Linked DNA regions of Canis lupus familiaris. The protein of the gene in region 1 interacts with the protein of each later gene in a pairwise test. Links are inferred from orthologs where the notes say so. Each region holds a gene or a part of one and is shown in the gene's direction. Other genes may lie near its edges.

What was found.
Region 2: the proteins of DMPK (region 1) and HSPB2 interact in a two-hybrid assay, tested with the Homo sapiens proteins (2 studies listed by BioGRID). The link is inferred for Canis lupus familiaris from reciprocal best matches to the Homo sapiens genes DMPK and HSPB2.

Annotation. Positions count from the first base shown.
Region 1 is NC_049222.1:110,539,177-110,542,983, forward strand, and holds part of DMPK (myotonin-protein kinase), read left to right. Parts: coding exon 1-19; intron 20-303; coding exon 304-387; intron 388-477; coding exon 478-573; intron 574-1,144; coding exon 1,145-1,293; intron 1,294-1,630; coding exon 1,631-1,724; intron 1,725-2,376; coding exon 2,377-2,583; intron 2,584-2,667; coding exon 2,668-2,931; intron 2,932-3,606; coding exon 3,607-3,692; intron 3,693-3,807. UniProt on the Homo sapiens protein: Non-receptor serine/threonine protein kinase which is necessary for the maintenance of skeletal muscle structure and function.
Region 2 is NC_049226.1:21,212,666-21,216,129, reverse strand, and holds HSPB2 (heat shock protein beta-2), read left to right. Parts: upstream 1-1,565; 5' UTR 1,566-1,673; coding exon 1,674-1,767; intron 1,768-2,135; coding exon 2,136-2,590; 3' UTR 2,591-2,790; downstream 2,791-3,464. Other genes in the region: CRYAB (alpha-crystallin B chain), read right to left, coding at 361-561. UniProt on the Homo sapiens protein: May regulate the kinase DMPK.

The DNA of each region.
Region 1 (3,807 bases):
ACGCGGGGCGTTCAGCGAGGTGAGCCTGGAGCGGCGGCTGCAGGCCCGCGGAGCAGGCGACACGACTTTCCGTGCTGTGGGCGGGACCCAGGGGTTTGGGGCGGGACCTTAGAAATTGATGAATGACCGAGTTGAGAAAGCCTACACCAGCTGGGCGGGGGCGGGGCTTGAGGTCGTGGGCGTGGCGTTAGCCGTGGGGCGGGGCCAGGACTTGGTTGTGTCAGGGGCGGAGAAAAATTCCTACGAGCCCGGGGATTGCGCCTGCCATCTCCGCCCCCCCAGTCACCCCGTTTCGGCCTTCAGGTAGCGGTGGTGAAGATGAAGCAGACGGGCCAGGTGTATGCGATGAAGATCATGAATAAATGGGACATGCTGAAGAGAGGCGAGGTGAGGGCCAGGGCTGGATGTGCAGGGCGCTAGGATTACCCACCCTGGCTCCCGCTCCCTGCCACTTAAGTGCCTCTGGGTGCCCCGCAGGTGTCGTGCTTCCGCGAAGAGAGGGACGTGTTGGTGAACGGGGACCGGCGCTGGATCACGGAGCTGCACTTCGCCTTCCAGGACGAGAACTACTTGGTGAGCCTCAGGCCAGGGGGGACTAGGGAGACCGACCTAGTCCTGACGCTGTCAGTGAGGCTGACAGTGAACCAGGCAGATTCAGGGAGAGGAAGTTCTAGGCTTTGGGAGCTGCCTCCAAATGGCTGCGGGTGTCTCTGGGTGTGGTGGGAATTGGTTTTCCTTTCCTGGGATGGGAGATGTCCCTTACTGTTTTTTTCCTGGACTGATTCTGGGGGATCCTGTAAAGATGCCACTGTCGGGGGGGAGGATCTCTTACCTGGACTGGGATAACTCTCTACAATCTATATGGGGGGCCCTGGGCAGGGTATCTAGCCTCTGTACTTTGGCCACTGGGAACTCTCTGGGCTTTTTCCCCTCTCCCTGTCTAGTGACATCCTGGGAGAATTAGGTTTTGCGGGGGGAGGGTGTGTGTCTCTGATTTGGCCTGGGAGATTTCTTGGGCTCTCTAGGAGCTGGGGTTGCGGGATCCCTGCCCAGGGATGGGGCATCTGCGGCAGTCTTTGTCCCGGGCTGTCAGCCGTCAGTGCCGAGGGGTGCGACTGACCCCCCATGACACGCCCCCTGCCAGTACCTGGTCATGGAGTACTACGTGGGCGGGGACCTGCTAACGCTGCTGAGCAAGTTTGGGGAGCGGATCCCGGCCGAAATGGCGCGCTTCTATCTGGCCGAGATTGTCATGGCCATAGACTCAGTGCACCGGCTGGGCTATGTACACAGGTGGGCGCCGCAGGGGCTGAGGGGCGGGGACTGGGGGGCGGGGCCCAGAGAGGGAACCAGAAGTTGCACCCGGGTGGGGGGCAGGGTACCGCAGAGGTTGGAGCCCAGAGGGGGCGGGGCCCGGGGGGAGAACTCATTGGTCTACTGGGAACAGGACCCGAGGAGTGGGGTTCAGAATCCCCTAAGGGGGGTTGAGGGGTAGGGCCCTGAGAGGCCACAATTGGAGAGCAGGGTCTCCCTAAGAGGGGAGGACCTTGGCCGTGGGGCCTGCAGGGGTGGAGCCTGGTGAGATGGATGGGAGAGGCTCACTTTTCCCCCTTACCTTCCGTTTGCGCAGGGACATCAAACCCGACAACATCCTACTAGACCGGTGTGGCCACATCCGTTTGGCCGACTTCGGCTCCTGCCTCAAGTTGCGGGCAGATGGAACGGTGAGCGGTGCCCCGCTTCAGGCAACTCGGGCCCCCAGTGAGGAGTGGGCTCAGGTGGGGGGACCGGAAGTGCAGAGTGCGGGGGCAGGGCTGAGGCGCACAGGTAGTTAGGGTGGGGGCCCCATCAGATGTGGAGGGGGAAAGAGGGTGAGAGGCTCGGGGTTAGAACAGGCCAGGGGGGATCCCTGGGTGGCGCAGCGGTTTGGCGCCTGCCTTTGGCCCAGGGCGCGATCCTGGAGACCCGAGATCGAGTCCCACGTCGGGCTCCCGGTGCATGGAGCCTGCTTCTCCCTCTGCCTGTGTCTCTGCCTCTCTCTCTCTCTCTCTCTCTCTGTGTGACTATCATAAAAATAAATAGTAAATTAAAAAAAATTTTTTTATTTATTTATGATAGTCACAGAGAGAGAGAGAGAGAGGCAGAGACACAGGCAGAGGGAGAAGCAGGCTCCATGCTCCGGGAGCCCGACATGGGATTCGATCCCGGGTCCTCAGGATCGCGCCCTGGGCCAAAGGCAGGCGCCAAACCGCTGCGCCACCCAGGGATCCCAATAAATAAAAATTAAAAAAAAGAACAGGCCAGGGGAGGGACCAAGCACTCGGGGCGTGGCTAGGAGGGGCGGGGCCGAGCCCAGCTGTGGACCTTTTGGCTCAGGTGCGGTCGCTGGTGGCTGTGGGCACTCCGGACTACTTGTCCCCCGAGATCCTGCAGGCCGTAGGCGGTGGGCCTGGGATGGGCAGCTATGGGCCGGAGTGTGACTGGTGGGCGCTGGGAGTGTTCGCCTATGAGATGTTCTACGGGCAGACGCCCTTCTACGCCGACTCCACGGCTGAGACCTACGGCAAGATCGTGCACTATAAGGTGAGGACCGCCAGAGAAACCCCTGATCTCCCTCCACATGTACTGCCAGGCTTACGTCCCCCGCCTTCCCTCTCCCTCGTGCAGGAGCACCTGTCTCTGCCGCTGGTCGATGCGGGGGTCCCTGAGGAGGCTCGAGACCTCATCCAGCAACTGCTGTGTCCCCCTGAGACGCGGCTGGGCCGGGACGGAGCAGGTGATTTCCAGAATCATCCTTTTTTCTTTGGCCTTGACTGGGACGGTCTCCGAGACAGCGTGCCCCCTTTTACGCCGGATTTTGAGGGTGCCACTGACACGTGCAACTTCGATGTGGTGGAAGATGGGCTCACTGCCATGGTGAGCGGGGGCGGGGTAGGTACCTGCAACCCCTGCTGGGCAGAGGGTATCCCCCCTCCATCCCTCACCCATAAAGTTGGGGTTAGAATAGTACCCATCTCCTCGGGTCTTGAAATCATTCCTCCCTCAGAGCACCTGTTCTGTGACCTGCCCCACGCTGGGAACCCAGCGATGACCTGGGTTCACAGTCTAGTGGGGAACATAGACTGGTCCCCAATGACTCCCCAGAGAGTTCAGAGGTGAGATGGGGGAATGCAGGGGGTGGGGCTCCTGGATTCAGCATGGAAAGTTTTGGAGGGCTTCCTGGAGGAGGTGTTATTTGAGCTGGGACCTGGAGCGATGAGAAGTGAGAGGCAGGAGAGCACTGTTTTGTGGAGAAATCTCTCTTAGGCCTTCTCTCAATTGTGATACAAGCTATCCTGAGTGTGTGTTCAGCTTGGGTGCCTTGTGCTGGGTGCTGCTGGGGACACACAGGGACCGAGCCAGTCCTGGTCCCACCCTCATCCACTTACAGCCTAGAGAAGTATATAATTACAGTGTGGAGAGTGTCCCGAGGGAAGTTATAGGATATATTGAAAGAAAATGAGGGAGGGGCCACTTCAGATAGGCTCCAAGCTGGGGTGGGGTGAGGAGCAGGAGACCAGCCCTGACGAACACCGGTCACTCCACATCTGTGTTTCTCTTGTACAGGAGACGCTGTCTGACATGCGGGAAGGCATGCCACTGGGAGTCCACCTGCCATTTGTGGGCTACTCCTACTCCTGCATGGCCCTCAGGTAGGCACTGCCCCTGGGCAGCCTGTGAGGAGTGGCAACACCCAGTGGAATTGCAGGATCAGTCTTGGAACTTGACTGCCTTGGGACCAAGGACTATTAGGACTCCAGAGGTGTA
Region 2 (3,464 bases), on another chromosome or scaffold:
ATTTGTCAGGAGTATGAGATATCAGAAGAGGCGAGCAAAGGAGTCTGAAGGCAGCTCTTTCCCTGTAGATCTTTCTGAACCAAACCAGAAAGGGGCATCCTACTTAGAAGTTAGGAGATAGAGGGCGATCTTCACAGCCCGTGGAGAAAAGGCAGTAAGTAGGACACAGTGGAGCATCAAATACAAACAGGTAAACTGGTGGAAAGAACCAGTAGCCTAGTGTTTCTTAAACCCTGGTGGACGTACAAGTGCCTAAGATGCTTAGACATAGCCATATTCAGGCAGAGAGAAAAAGGAGAGCAGGTGGATATGTTTCCAGGAGGTTCTAGGAAGAACTCTCCTCTCCTGGCAGAAACTTACCTCTGAGAGCCCGGTGTCAATCCAGCTGGGTGCCCGCAGGAATGAGGGTGGCCGAAGGTAGAAGGGGCTCAGGGAAGTAGAAGTTGGGAAGAGATCGGACTCCAACAGGTGCTCTCCGAAGAACTGGTCAAAGAGGCGGCTGGGGGAGTGGAAGGGAAAGAAGGGGCGGCGGATCCAGGGGTGGTGGATGGCGATGTCCATGGTGGCTAGGTTGAGTGGAGGGGGTCAGCTGGCTGGTCAGCTCCTTCAGCCGCAGCTACAGCCAGCCCCTTATATACGCAGTCTTGTGAAGCTTCTGGAATGGTGATGTCAGGAGTTTTATTATCCCAGCTCACCACCCGTTCATGGAGACTTGTGATCAGGGATTTGGCAGTGTGACACATACCCAGTACTCACTGAGCTAAGAAAAGAGAAATACAAACACGTCTGAGCTGGCCAGTGACTTGTCCTGGTCCTGTTGCACTAGCTTTCCGTCCACACCCAGTAGTGCCCCCCCACACCCCCTTCTCTGGAGTTGGGAGGGAGTCAGGAATCCCAAGCAGGCGGCTGTTGTGCCCCTCCTCCTCCTCTCCAGCCTAGCGTGCCAGGGGAATTGGGCCAGTGACTATCTTGGGCCTGGGCAGGAACTGGAATCTTCCTAGGCTGGGCCCCAGGGACATTAACTCTTTATGGGTCCCTGGAGGAGAGCAGCCATCACCAGCAAGTCAGCGCCAGGCAGATATCTGTGTGGCGCCCGGGCTTGACCCTGGTTCAGGAGAGGACCCTGACATTCGTCTGGGCAGAAGACCCTTCACCCCACTCCAAAAAAGGGTGGGAAAGTTTCTTGCATCTTTCACCTTACACGGCGGCAGAACGTTAAAACCGGGACAGCTTTGTGCAGTCGGGTGTAGGGTGCCCGGGACTTAGGAGGACAGAGGGAGGAAATGTGGAAAATGTGCCAACGGTGAGGGTGAGGGTCGCAGCTAGGCCGCTGCAGGGCCTCGGGACCGGCCTCCCGCGGCAGCTCGCAGCTCGCAGCTCCAGCTCGCTGCCCAGCCAGGACCCCCCGCTGTCCCCTCGGGCCGCCTGCGACAGCTGCAGGGCGTGCGGGGGGGGGGGGGGGGCGCGGGGGTCCAGGCAGCGCGGGTCACACACTTGTCGCTGGCGCTCAGGGGCCCGGCCCCCGCCCCTCCCCCACCCCGGGCTCCGCACTATTTTGGGTGGTGTAGACCCCGCCCCCACCTCGGACCGAGCCCTGGCCGGCCCCGCAGCTGGAGGGGTCGCTGCTCTGTTGGGGCTGCAGCTCGGAGCAGAGCCGCCGACGCCTCGCAGCCATGTCGGGCCGCTCGGTGCCCCACGCCCACCCGGCCACCACCGAGTACGAATTCGCCAACCCCAGCCGCCTGGGCGAGCAGCGCTTCGGAGAAGGTATGGCACAGACGCCACCCCCGGCCTCCCGCCCCCACCTCCTGAGATTCCGGGCTGACCTCCCGACAGTGCTGGCCTCCACCCCACTCCGGGCTTAACTGAACTCCTGGGGCGAGCCGTCTCCCACCCGGACCCCCCCCGCCCCCGCCCCCGCCAAGCAGGGCTCGGTCCCCTTCCCGCTGACCTCGGGGCAGATGCCCGGCCCTGACCCCCTGGCTGGGCCCGTGCTCCCCTCTGTCCCGCGGTCCCCGCCCGGCCTGCCCTCTGCACCCCCATCTCGGCCCCTGGCCCCCTCCTGCCCCCCCCCCCCGCCCTCCCTGGCCCTCACCCCTCGTCCCCGGCTCATCCTGCCTCATCCTGCCCCTCAGGCCTCCTGCCCGAAGAGATCCTGACCCCCACCCTCTACCATGGCTACTATGTCCGGCCCCGGGCCGCCCGCGCCGCCGAGGGTAGCAGGGCAGGGGCGTCTGAGCTTCGGCTCAGCGACGGCAAGTTCCAGGCGTTTCTGGACGTGAGCCACTTTACGCCCGACGAGGTGACCGTAAGGACTGTGGACAACCTGCTGGAGGTGTCTGCCCGGCACCCCCAGCGCCTGGACCGCCACGGCTTCGTGTCCCGGGAGTTCTGCCGCACCTACGTCTTGCCCGCCGATGTGGACCCCTGGCGGGTCCGGGCGGCTCTCTCCCACGATGGCATCCTTAACCTGGAGGCACCTCGGGGTGGCCGACATTTGGACACGGAGGTCAATGAGGTCTATATCTCCCTGCTCCCTGCACCTCCCGATCCAGACGAAGAGGAGGAGGCAACCAGGGTTGAGCCCTGAGTGTCACTGAGCCAGCACCCAGCGAACCCCTTTCTACCCCCCGCGGTGGTATGAGCAGCTGCCCACCGCCCCAGAGGTAGCCGCATCCTTGGGGGGAGGGGGAGAGTGCATGGCCCACAATGTATGGTTTGGTCCCTTGAGACATGTCATAGCCTTTGGTTTAGTTCTGGGTGGAGCTGAATAAACCCAAATCTCAGGGCCTTGTTTGTGCTGCTCCCTGTTCTGTGGCCTGGACGATGGGATGGGCAGGGAGGGAAGAGGCCATAGCCAGCGAGACAAAAGCTCCTCCGTTAGATGTGCCCCACGTCACAGCACCCTGAGCTCACACTTGGATGCTGAGATCATACCCGGAAGCTGACACTGGCTCCAGATCAAATTCCTAGCTGTAATTTTCTCACAATGCAACAAAAGAGAGAGTGATCCTGGGAGGGGAAAGGGATATGCCATCCAAACAGCCCAGAGGGCACTGTCTGAGCTGGTGATTAGAGACACAAAAACAAGGGTCTCCAGCCTGTCTGGCCTGTTTCGGGTAGGGGTTGGGAAAACAGTGTTAGCTGGAGAGAGTTGCCTAAAGCCCTGTTTTCCCAGAGTAAGATCTATCCACTGAAAATGGTCCCTGATTCTGAGCGGTGGAGGCATACACAGGGCACAGACACAGACGCCTCTGCCATTGTCACCAAACCACCAAGTGTCTCCAACCTGTGCACAGGGTCTATGAGAGAAAGCATCTGTTTCTAATCTTGGAACATCCCAAAGAGAGGAATCACTTAGTCCAAGACTAAATGCAGGGGCACTAGAGCTATTTATATGGTGATGGCGGCCAGGGAATCTTCCTTTGGAAGCAGACTCTTAATACTAGGGACATGGTGTGTTC